Linked DNA regions of Macaca fascicularis. The protein of the gene in region 2 binds, or shares a complex with, the protein of the main gene of each other region. Links are inferred from orthologs where the notes say so. Each region holds a gene or a part of one and is shown on either strand. Other genes may lie near its edges.

Evidence for each region.
Region 1: NCKAP1 (region 2) and CYFIP2 share a complex: the UniProt entries of both Homo sapiens proteins name them as parts of the WAVE1 complex. The link is inferred for Macaca fascicularis from reciprocal best matches to the Homo sapiens genes NCKAP1 and CYFIP2.
Region 3: NCKAP1 (region 2) and ABI1 share a complex: the UniProt entries of both Homo sapiens proteins name them as parts of the WAVE2 complex. The link is inferred for Macaca fascicularis from reciprocal best matches to the Homo sapiens genes NCKAP1 and ABI1.

The regions. Positions count from the first base shown.
Region 1 is NC_088380.1:164,117,475-164,121,122, reverse strand, and holds part of CYFIP2 (cytoplasmic FMR1-interacting protein 2), read right to left. Parts: coding exon 3,551-3,648; intron 1,404-3,550; coding exon 1,329-1,403; intron 422-1,328; coding exon 268-421; intron 1-267. UniProt on the Homo sapiens protein: Involved in T-cell adhesion and p53/TP53-dependent induction of apoptosis. Does not bind RNA. As component of the WAVE1 complex, required for BDNF-NTRK2 endocytic trafficking and signaling from early endosomes.
Region 2 is NC_088386.1:78,538,712-78,542,359, forward strand, and holds part of NCKAP1 (nck-associated protein 1), read right to left. Parts: intron 3,099-3,648; coding exon 3,002-3,098; intron 2,644-3,001; coding exon 2,537-2,643; intron 1,086-2,536; coding exon 953-1,085; intron 1-952. UniProt on the Homo sapiens protein: Part of the WAVE complex that regulates lamellipodia formation. The WAVE complex regulates actin filament reorganization via its interaction with the Arp2/3 complex. Actin remodeling activity is regulated by RAC1.
Region 3 is NC_088383.1:27,593,722-27,597,811, reverse strand, and holds the start of ABI1 (abl interactor 1), read left to right. Parts: upstream 1-1,244; 5' UTR 1,245-1,410; coding exon 1,411-1,527; intron 1,528-4,090. UniProt on the Homo sapiens protein: May act in negative regulation of cell growth and transformation by interacting with nonreceptor tyrosine kinases ABL1 and/or ABL2. May play a role in regulation of EGF-induced Erk pathway activation. Involved in cytoskeletal reorganization and EGFR signaling.

The DNA.
Region 1 (3,648 bases), on a different chromosome or scaffold from region 2:
CTCTCTACTAAGGACTTTATGACAGATTAGCCACAGGTATCTCCCGGACACATTTAGCTAGGTCAGAATAGCTGAGTTGAACCTGGCCTTTCCCAGCTCCAAAAGCCCACTGGAAAGTGTGTGTGTTTTCCTTGGCGGTGATATCAACGATCACGTCCTTAGGGTCAACGATCACGTCCCTTTGCCATGCCTGGCTTGGTGGTCTTAGTGGCTCTGAGCCCTTCGTCCCCTCCCTCCATGCCTCAGCAGGGGTGGGATGCAGCTCACCACTGATGTTGAGCAGGTGTGTGAAGAAGAAGGACTGTTTGTGAAAGTCCTCTATGGCGAGGACAATGGGTCCGTCGAGGCTGCTCCTCAGGGTCTTCTTGGAGCCGCTTTTGTCTGCAATGAGCGATTCAAGCATGGTCCGCACCATGTACAGCTTGAAAAAGAAGGCAAGATGAGAAGGTCAGAAGCTGGCCCTCCACCCCAGGGGAAAAGGTTGCTTCGTGTTGTATTTATGTATTTATTCTTGTCTGCAGATGTCTGCTCTTAAAAAGCATTGTCCTAAGGAAGCACCAGTTTAGGGTTTGAGAAGTAAATGTGGAACTGTGAAAAGCTTCATGGCCAACCCGGGCCCCGTGGCATCCCTGGGCCGGTGGGCCTGGCCACAGCAGGTGGCTCCCTGCTCTGCTTGGCCAAGGGTGTGTATATCAGAGGAGAACCTCATTACATGTCACCCTGGAGTCACTCACTCCCTGTTTTCCCAGAGGGCCACAGATGCCATGGGCGGAGCACTGGACTGGGAGTCAAAAGACCGGGGTTCAAGGCCAGGCACTGCTGCTGATTTGCTGTGTGACCTTAGGCAACAAAGCCCCCACTCTGGGCCTCAGTTGTCTCATGTAACATGAGGGGGTTGGACCAGATGCCTTCTCACACCAGTCCCTTTCAGAACTAACATTCTGAGGAACTGAGAAATGGGATAAGATCAGAACGAACCCCCTCCCACACCTGTTCCTGATCCTCAGCGTTTTGACCCCGTGGCTGAGCAATGGCGCCCCCTTGGTGGCATCGGCTGCACTGCACAGCCTGCTGAAGTCCGGGGCGGAAGGCGGGTTAACATTGGTACTTACACAGGAGGCTACTAGACAATTAACTCCCGCTTACAGGGTGCCTTAAGTGCAAAGGATGCAAGTGCGGTGGGGTGGTTCTCTTTGCTAATCTAGATCTCTCCACATCATTTGTCTGTGAATCTTAGGGCTGGAAGGGGCCTTGAGGAGCCAGGCTAGTCCATTCCTGCTGCCTCCTCGAGAAGGGTACCCAAACCACCCAGCCAGGCGGTGTGATACCAGGGATCGGCAGCCTCTTCGGCCCTGTGTGCCACCAGTGGGGTGAAACAAAGCCCTCGGGGACCACTGGCAGGCCTAAGACACAGATAGGAGAGAAGGAAGAGGGAACGGGAGGGCAGGAGAGACAGGGAAGAGGGAGAGAGAGAAAGAGAGAGAGAGAGAGAGAGAGAGAAAAGCAAGAGGTATTGTATACGGTGGGAAAGCCGCCACGACTGCCGACTGCCGGGGGCTACCTCTGAGACACTCCAACCTCCCAGCAACCGCGTTCGTCTTCGCTGCCTCTGGAGCTTCCCTGGGATCTTCCCCACCACATACCTGGCACTGATGCGGGCAGGGCAGCCACAGAAACGTGACCCACCATCCCTGCCACAGGGCTTCCTTTGTGGGAAAGCAGCCATGGTGGCCGTCAGTGCCTCAGACAGTCCCCCATCTGCAGGCCTGTTGGGGGGCCCGTCTCATCATCCCTAAGAGCCGAGAAGCACTCTTCTCATGACGGCCTCTCAAGTCCTCAAAGGAAGAATGCAAGTCTAATCTGTTGTGGATGCTGTCTGATTGATGTCCAACTCTAACGATCTGAAAACTGGTTTCACCCATAAGAGGGTGAACTCTTTTCCCATGTACTTTTACTTAACAGAGCATTTAATTCACCAAACCAGTCTCTATCCCAACTATGCAAGATGCCCATGTCTACTGTGCCCTGCAGACCATACCAGAGCCCTGGGTGGGTGTCAGGAGACCTGGGTTCTTGTCCCACCTCCACCTGGGACTCGCCTTGTGACTTGGACAAGTCACTTCCCCTCTCTAGACCTCAGTTTCCCCATCTGCAAGATATGGGGAGGGCCTAGGTTTCTCTAAGAGCTCTCCCAGCTCTGGTTGTCTAGGAGTCTATTCCACATGTCTGTGCCACCCTGGCATGACCTGGTGGAGGCTGGGGGTGAGGGGGGATTTACTGCTGGTGACCCACCCCTCTCACATCATCTACACAAATCCTCCCTTCCTCACCTCTCCTTTTCTCTCTGCCTGTTAAGCCCCCTCCTCCTCCTTTCCAGTGTCTTTTGTGCCTTGTCTGTCTCCTGCTCACTCATGTCTTAAAACTTACAGAAACACCTGAAAGCCCTGCTCAGTGTTCCCCGGACCTCAGTCCTTGATACTACACAGAACTGTTTGCAGACGCTTCCTCGGGGCGTTCTACAACCAGCCGGTGAGATTGGTGCAAACTGGCAGAGGGTTGTCAAGCCAAGGGGAGTTAAGACGACCCTGCCGAGAACCCACCTCTCCCCTGCCCCAGCCCCCAGCACAGACACAGACACACACACAGGGAGAAGGGTCAGGGGGTGGGCCTCGGATGGTCCATCTCGGGTGGCTGAGAGCAGAGAGAGGCTTAAAGGTCATGGGAAGTGAGGCCTCTGAGACCCTTAAACCCGCAATGAGAACCATCTGCTTTTTCCAGCACATCAAAAATACTACCAGAAACTACCTAGCCTTAAGTAGGTAGCAGGGACTTAACGGAGATACTCAGATTATTGACTTTTTTTCTGTAATGTTATGACTGCTCTGGATAAGCCACGGGCGACCTCTTGCGTAGAAGCTCTGGCTGGCAACTCTGAGTGTTTCCAAATACTGGACTTCCTCTAAGGGGACAAGGGCTTTCAACACTTGCACTTTTGGAAGGATGTGGAACTAAGGGATATTTTGTTAGTAACACAATCTCATTCGAAGTTTTCATTTTGCAGAGAAGATAGTCAGAGCTCAGAGAGCTCAAGGTGCTTGCCCAAGATCACACAGCAAGTCAGAGGCAGAACTTTTAGGGGAAAGGGCCAGGGCTTATTAAAGAGGGACAGGATAGATGTGTATAGATTCCACTTTAACCTCCTCCTGCACTTTGGAATCTATACTTCATAGGACTAGAAGATAGCCAGGCAAGGTGGATGTGGTATTATCCCCATTAGCTAGTTTAAACAACTGAGGCACAGAGAGATCTGTAACGTGCCCGAGGTCACACAGGTATCTAGGACTAGAATCCAGGTCTCCTGAATCTTAAGCCAGTGGTCCTCCTTCCTATATCAAAACAATATGGCAGAATAAAACCAGAGCAGCCACTCAACCCTGCCCCTCCTGACCAATGGCTCCCAGTCCCACTGCCCATGGCCAGCCATGATGACCTACCATAGCTGGGCTGGCCTCTGAGTCAACGCAGCTGGCCTGTGCCTGGAGCCGCTTACCTGTGTGCTGGATGGCCCCACAGCACGCCGGGGCACCTTGATGTCAAATCCACCTTTGGGGTCCTTCTCCCCTCTCAAGCATGGGTCATTGGGGGGCT
Region 2 (3,648 bases):
GCCCAGGCTGGAGTGCAGTGGCCGGATCTCAGCTCACTGCAAGCTCCGCCTCCCGGGTTCACGCCATTCTCCTGCCTCAGCCTCCGGAGTAGCTGGGACCACAGGCGCCCGCTACCTCGCCCGGCTAGTTTTTTGTATTTTTTAGTAGAGATGGGGTTTCACCGTGTTAGCCAGGATGGTCTCGATCTCCTGACCTTGTGATCCGCCCGTCTCAGCCTCCCAAAGTGCTGGGATTACAGGCTTGAGCCACCGCGCCCGGCTTTTTTTAATTTAAATAAAGATGAAAAACACTGAATAAGTAAATTATGGAAAGCAAAAAAAAAAAAAAAGGCTAAAAACCAATTAAGAAAAAAAAATTGGACATTTAAATGGGAATATCTATATGAAATCTTTATTTACTGGTCATCCTTTAACAATCTTCTTCAAAAAGATTTTTATTCTTTCCTTCTAATAGTTAATTATCAATTATATTGTCTCTATCATCTCTTCTGAATCTCCATAGCTTCTGCCCAAGCTCAGGCTCTCATCACCTCTCATTTAGCCTACTGCTGTCATTTTTCTTCTGGTCTCTCTGCCTCCTTACTTGGTTCCCAGCAATCTATCATCCACACTGAACCAGGGTGATCTTTCTAAGTAGTACATCTGATTTATGACTAACCTCCTCTTTCCCAAGGCCCTCTGTAATTTGGTGAGTATACACCTTCATCTTCAGGATAAATAATCGTGTCTTTCCTTGTGTTCACTCTGAGCTTTATATACAGTTTACGCACAATACCTATCACATTGGACTACAACTGTTTCTTCCCTTCTAGGTAATGATCTCGACAAAATATAAACATGATTTATCGCTTGGCACATGATATTTCATAAATGCTTGTTGAACAAACAAATCAAATACCATCAAAGGTGGGAAGGAAGGAACAAAAGGGAAATAGTATAAGATAGTTTTTACCTGCACGAGTTCATTGAGGACAACAGCATCAAAGCCAGAAAGGTACTGCACGTAATACCTCTGCATTACAGGTCCATATTTCCTCACATGTGCTCTAAGCTCTTCCATGTAAAATATTAATTCAGCAATGTGCCTTTTTTAAAATTTCAAGAAAAATATTTCAAATAATAAATTCACCATTATTAAAGAATATATTAGAGGCCCTAGATCTCATTCATAAAAGTATTTTTCTTATAAAGGGCACTGTTTAATACCTGATGTCAATTACTTCCTTTTTAAATTGTTTCATAAATAAAGAAATCATGGAAAGCAAAGAAAAAAAGAAAAAAAGCTAAGGCTAAAAATTGATAGCAGAAAATCCAAACTGAAAATAGTGTTCACGGGTACAGTGGCTCACAACTGTAATTACAGCACTTCGGGAGGCCAAGGTAGGCTGATCACCTGAGGTCAGGGGTTCAAGACCAGCCTGGCCAACGAGGTAAAATCCCATCTCTGCTAAAAATACAAAAATTAGCTGGGCATGGTGGTGGGTGCCTGTAAACCCAGCTACTTGGGAGGCTGAGACAGGAGAATCGCTTGAACCCAGGAGGTTGAGGTTGCAATGAGCCAAGATGGCATCACTGCACTCTAGCCTGGGTGACAGAGTAAAACTCTGTCTCAAAAAACAAAACAAAACAAAACAAAATTAAATTAAAAAAAATAAAAAAACAGGACATGTTATAAATACATCATCAAAAAATCTCAAATAAAAGAGGATTAGCAAGAAATAAAATTTTCCTGTATGCTCTTACTTCTCTGCTCCATTTTTCTAACTCTTATTGAGAGACTGAACTAAAACAACACAAAGACATTTTAATGACACACTGGGTTGCAACTCTACAAACAGGATTTTTATTTAAATGTTTTGTGTAGTAACTAGTTTTAAAAAATGAATTCTGTAAGAAATATTATTGAGCATAGCAAGAAAACAAAAACTTTATCACCACAAAGCATACTATGAGAAAACAAAAGCCCTAATTTAAAACTAAAGTTGACTTTGCAGTCTAATTAATATCATCTAATGATATATCACAAATATTCCAAGCTCTTCAAAATAATTTTGCTTCAAATATAAGTCTCCAGATTCCCCAGCCCATAAATCAGAATACAGATGGTGCACACCTTACAGTGATTTGGATGTACTATCTTTCTAATTTACAATGGTGCAGAAGCAATACACATTTAGTACAAATTGTACTCTGAATTTTGACTTTTTTTTCCAGGCTAGCAATAGGCAGTATGATACTCTCTCATGATGCTGCCGCAGTTCCCAGTCAACTATGTAATCAGAAAGATAAACAACTTACACTCTTCAGTGTACTATGTTGCCAGATAATTTTGCCCAACTGTAGGCTAATAAAAGTGTTCTGAGCACATTTAAGGTAGGCTAGGCTAAGCTCTAATGTTCAGTAGATGAGATGTACTAAATGCATTTCAACTTAACAATATTTTCAACTTACAATGGGGTCTATCAGGACATAACCCCATTGTAAATCAAGCAGCATCTATATACAGAAAATAATTTTTTAAATGTTGCTAACGTACTTATCTATAAAGTCGTCTGCACTCTTCTTTGGCATGTTATCTGCATGACGAAGTAGCCAGATGATTTCATCACGGGCAAAGGATAACGCCATAAAAACAAAAAGTGCCTGTTTAAAAAAAATAAGTGTTTATTCTTATTCAATGACAAAAAACAAACTCGTAATCTCTTTCTATGTGAAAAGTCATTGGCAAGAAGTGATAATATCAATTCAAAAGAGTGAGGAGACTAACAGGAGAGAGCACAAGAGAACTTACAAGTATGTAGGAGAGAGAGAGCATGCATACAAGGGAGAAGAATGCAGGGAGGTACGATGTATGAATGTCAAGTCAGAAAATTCATGCTCCACTAAATATAAAAATCCTTTTATGTAGTCCCTGACTCAAATTTCAGTAAAATTTCATGTAGAAATGTTTTTTAAAATTTTAATATGGCACAATTATTGAAATAATAATTAAATCAGTTACCTTGGGACCTAGCAATCCAGGCTGATCAGAGAGGACAGTAGCCAATTCCTTCAGTGCAGATCTTAAAAACTTGCGTCTTTCTCTGTGCATTGAACCGCTACAGGGAAAGACACCATAATAGTTTATCTGCTTCTACTAAAATTTTTATTGGCAATTAAAGTAACTAGCATTACAGGTTCAACTTCTAAAGTCTTTTTTTAGGAAGCCAAAGTTCCTATAAAAATAATCTTCTATGTGTTTGTCATTGAGTTTCTAATCTTACATTTATCCTGCCTTTCTTGTGTTGCTTTTTAAACTGTGTTTCTTCTGTTATTCTCCATCTATCAAAATCCTACCCAACCTTCAAGACCAGTCCTTCAAGAAGCATTTCCCAACATCCAGGTATTTATTGACGAATAATTTCTCCAATTTTAGTACCACACGGCTTTAAGCACTTTACAGACTGAAATTCTTGACGGTGACCAGGCCCATGCTTATAATCCCAGCACTTTGGGAGGTCAAGTTGGGTGGATTGCCTGAGCTCAGGAGTTCGAGACCAACCTGGGCAACATGGCAAAACTCCGTCTCTACTAAAAATACAGAAAATTAGCCAGGTATGGTGGGCGCCTGTAATCCCAGCTACTTGGGAGGCTGAGGCAGGAGAATCA
Region 3 (4,090 bases), on a different chromosome or scaffold from region 2:
TCCTATAGTTATTTTGATTCTAAATGACTTTATGGAGATACATGGACATATGGATTTTACAATGATCTTTAGTTTCCTCTTCGGCCTTTGGACAACACTTTTCATAGCTGATTATATCCAAAGCATTTAATGTTCCCGTTGAAGTGAAGAGCTTGAAATATAGGGCCTTTTGAGACTATTCCAAAGCAGGTGATAAAAACAAAACAAAAATCCAGAAGCAAAAAACGAAGGGCCAGCATGGGTGGCTCATGATTGTAATCCTAGCAGTTTGGGAGGCTGAGGCAGAAGGATTGCTTGAGGCCAGGGGTTCGAGACCAGCGAGGGCAACAAAATTGGATCCCTGTCGCTACAAAAATTTAAAAAGCTCAGCCCCGGTGTAGTGACCCTCGCTTGTAGTCCCAGTTACTCCGGAGGCTGAGGCATGAGGATCGCTTGAGTCTAGGAGGTCTAGGCTGCAGAGAGCCGTGATTGCGCTACCGTACTCCAGGCTGGGTAAGAGTGAGATCCTGTTTCAAACAACCCCCACCCCTAAAAAACCGTGCACTTGACTTTAAAAGTGTAGGAAGATTACATGCCAAGGAGAGTCACAGAAAAGAGAAATTAGGACAGGAAAGCCCTACAAGCTATGCATGTTTATTTTATAATCGAGTCTTTAAGGGTATGGAGTATTCATACTCAACTTGTACCCCCAGTGTCCAGTACACTGCTTAGTAAACAGCTGGAATCAAGAAATCTTTGCTAAATTTTAAATTAATTGATGGGGGCGGAAGCTCAGAAAGTAAAACCTGACTCGCATTATTTCTAAGAAGGCAGAGGAAGTAAAAATCTAGTTTTCTATACTCTGTCCCTTTTTAATCCTTCTGTGAATGGATGTCCCTGATTCACTGGCATTTCCTAATTAACCAAGTTCTGCCAAGTTTCACATGAAACTTGGGGAACCGATTTCATTCCCCCACAATCACCCTGTGGCGCCACCTTCCGGAGCTGTGAGGAAACTCCGGACTTCCCCCCAACACCGCCCCCTCCCTCCACCTTCGGTCTCCGCTTTCTGCGCTCTGCCTAGTTGTTTTCGGAGGTGTCTGCGCGCATGCGCTTTGGACGGGCAGCCTTGTCTAAGAGAGACTACAATTCCCAGAAGACAGTGCGAAAGAAAAAAAAATCCCGCGGCCCGGCGTGGGGGAGGTGGCAGAAATGAAGACTCGCGAGAGAACGAGGTTCAGGCGGCTGCGCGAAGTGGGTGGAGGGAGACCCGAGAGAGTGAGGAAGAACGGGAGGAGGTGCCGTCCCACAATACCAGGCGGGAGGGCGGGTAGTCGGTTTGTATCCGGGCTGTGAGGTGCTCGGAGCCTCGGCGGACCTTGCTGCCTCTGTCTCTTTAACGCGAGAGGAAGCGATGCAGAGGGGTGGAAAATGGCAGAGCTGCAGATGTTACTAGAGGAGGAGATCCCGTCTGGCAAGAGGGCGCTGATCGAGAGTTACCAGAACCTGACTCGGGTGGCGGACTACTGTGAAAACAACTACATACAGGTGAGGCGCGCTGGCGGCCGGCGGGCGCTGGCCGGGTCGAGGACCCGCCGGAGTGACCAGCCCACTGGGCGGGGTGGGGAACTGCCCTCACCTCAGCGGTTGCCACCAGCCCGAGCCCCTACCGCAGTCCCAACCCCAGCCCCAACCGGGGACAGAGCGAGTGGCCCGGCTGAGGGAGTCGGGCTGCGATACAGGAAGTGGCTGTGGTGGTGGAAATCGATGGAAGGGGAGAGAAAATGGGCGAGGGAGCCGGGAGCCCGCCGCAGCCCGGCGCCCCCCTCGCGTCCGCTTTCCCCAGGGCCGGGCCACCGGGGTCGCGCGCCCCCCAGGTAGCCTCCAGTCCACGGAGCTGGCGTCCTGGAGACCCCCCTGCTGCCGCCGCGCCGCCTCTCTGCGCCCGGAGAGGAGGTCCAGGACGGGAGAGGGGAGAGGAGAGGGCAGGGACCAGGCTGAAGCCGCAGAAGGGATAGGACCAGCGGGGTGTGTGTTGTGTGTCGGCGGAGGGTGGGGTGGGGGCCATTATGTCAGTTTCAGCCCCCAGAGGGTGTGTCTTTTATTTATTTATTTAAAAAAAATTTGTCATGAGTCACATTACACCGACCTCCCGGAGGAGAGGAGGAAGCGGGTGTGGGGAGTGAGGGAGGGCGTTTGAGAGAAGTTAATCTTAAAATTCCTTTAATTGAAGGTTTGTAAATCTGCCTGCTTGTCCATTTTCAAGTCGGGTTCCCCCCCCCCCCCCGCCATCGTTTTCGCTTCCGCCCCACCGTAATGTATTCTAAGAGGTTGTTAGGGCTGCTATCATTAATTATCAAACAGGAATTGTTTTTAACTCCTTGGAAAAACGGCTTAAATACTCTCTCTTCTCCCAAAAGTTCTTGAACTGTAGGCTTCATAAGTAACTTAATACTGGTGTCATCGCTGGTTGCTTATTTTCTGAGGTTTCTCTCTTAACAAGCTAAGTAAATGTATAGTATATGAATCCAAGTACAGAAATGAACAGAGGTAGCCTCCGAACTACAACATAAAAATATCAGTTATTGTAAATTAGAAAACTCTTGGGACTTTGTGACAGATGCTGGTTTGTTCATTTCTTTTTGGATGATTGGAAGTGAATTGTGTGTGGTAGTTTGTTTTGAAGACCTTTAACTGTGTAAACCAACAGTTTGCACTAGAAACAAAGTAGCACAGTCCTTTGTATAAATATAAAGCCACCAGAAATGCTCTTGCTTTTGGTAAGGCAAGGCTAGAACGTGCTTTGAAAGGTTAGGGTTATTGCAATTCAGAACTAAATTATTTATAGAAATGCCTCCCATGTGATTATAATTTTTAAGAACCAATGTTTGTGTGTTGGCAAATGCTTTCCCTCTTTATTTTTAGAGGGAGATGCTGTTTTCAGAATGTTTTGAATATTTCTTAATTTTGATGTTAGTAACATTGTATCTTCAGTAGCACTACTCGGAATTTATCTTCACAATTTTTTTGTAAAGTTTTTACTTTAGGAATTCTTCGGATAAGTAAACTTGTTGAATACCTGTCACATCTACTGTATCACTTTGTTTATGCAAACTTTATATTTAGCCCTTCGAAACTTAAAAATCGAGTAGAAAAGTGGGTATAGTTTGCAAATACAAAAGTGATCTTGTAGTTTATCGATATTAAAAATAGGCAACTTTTATTCAACTTAACATGAAAAGCCTTGAAATTGAGGAGAACCTTAATTTGCTGAAAGTTTTAAAGATTTTTGAAAGCCAAAAGGAGAGCACAGTAGGTTAAATTGCTCCCTTTCCAGAAAAGTTATGTCTTCTCTGTAGAAGTCAGTAGATAAGTACTTCATACAGGGTGGCTCCTTTTTGTTTTGCGTGTTGGGAAATCTGACGAGTATATAGTGTGGTAACTATGTGTTGGCAACTCTTGGTAACTGTAAACGTGTTTTAACCTGTGTACTATTTCTTTTTCAGGTAGTTGTATGCTGTAATGCTTTTTTTACCCCTCTCTGACCCCTTTCCTTTACTCCTCTTGCTACGATCATGTAACTTTGAAGCACTTTAAAACTTCTTTGCTAATATATCTAATTAAGTCATGTTATTTCTCATACAGTCTCTCACTTTATAAAATGTTAGTGCCATGGTGCAGGCCCCGTTTTTTTATTTTCTTTTTTTGCGGGGGCGGGGTGGGGTATAATTCTAAATCTGACACCAGTGAGGTGTTTTGTTTATACTGGGGGGGGGGGGGGGGGAAAGAATTCACACAAAGCAATGATGATCTAAATACCTTAGTAGCCTTTATTCATTGGGCTGCATGATCCAGGCCACTAGTTGCCTCCCTAAGGGACTCAGACAGGGTCAGACTCAGAAAGTGATGTGGAAGTTGATGTGGTAGGTGGTGCTGATGACTTTGGTGCTAAGAATGGGGAATGAATAATATTAGAAATATCCATTAGGGTGTCTGTTGAGGTCTTTCTATATCCTTCCTGGGACCTGATTGGGTTATTTATAACTAATACTCTTCATAAATATACCTCTTCTCAGTGAAAGTATGCAGTTCACATGTGCTTTGAGAATTT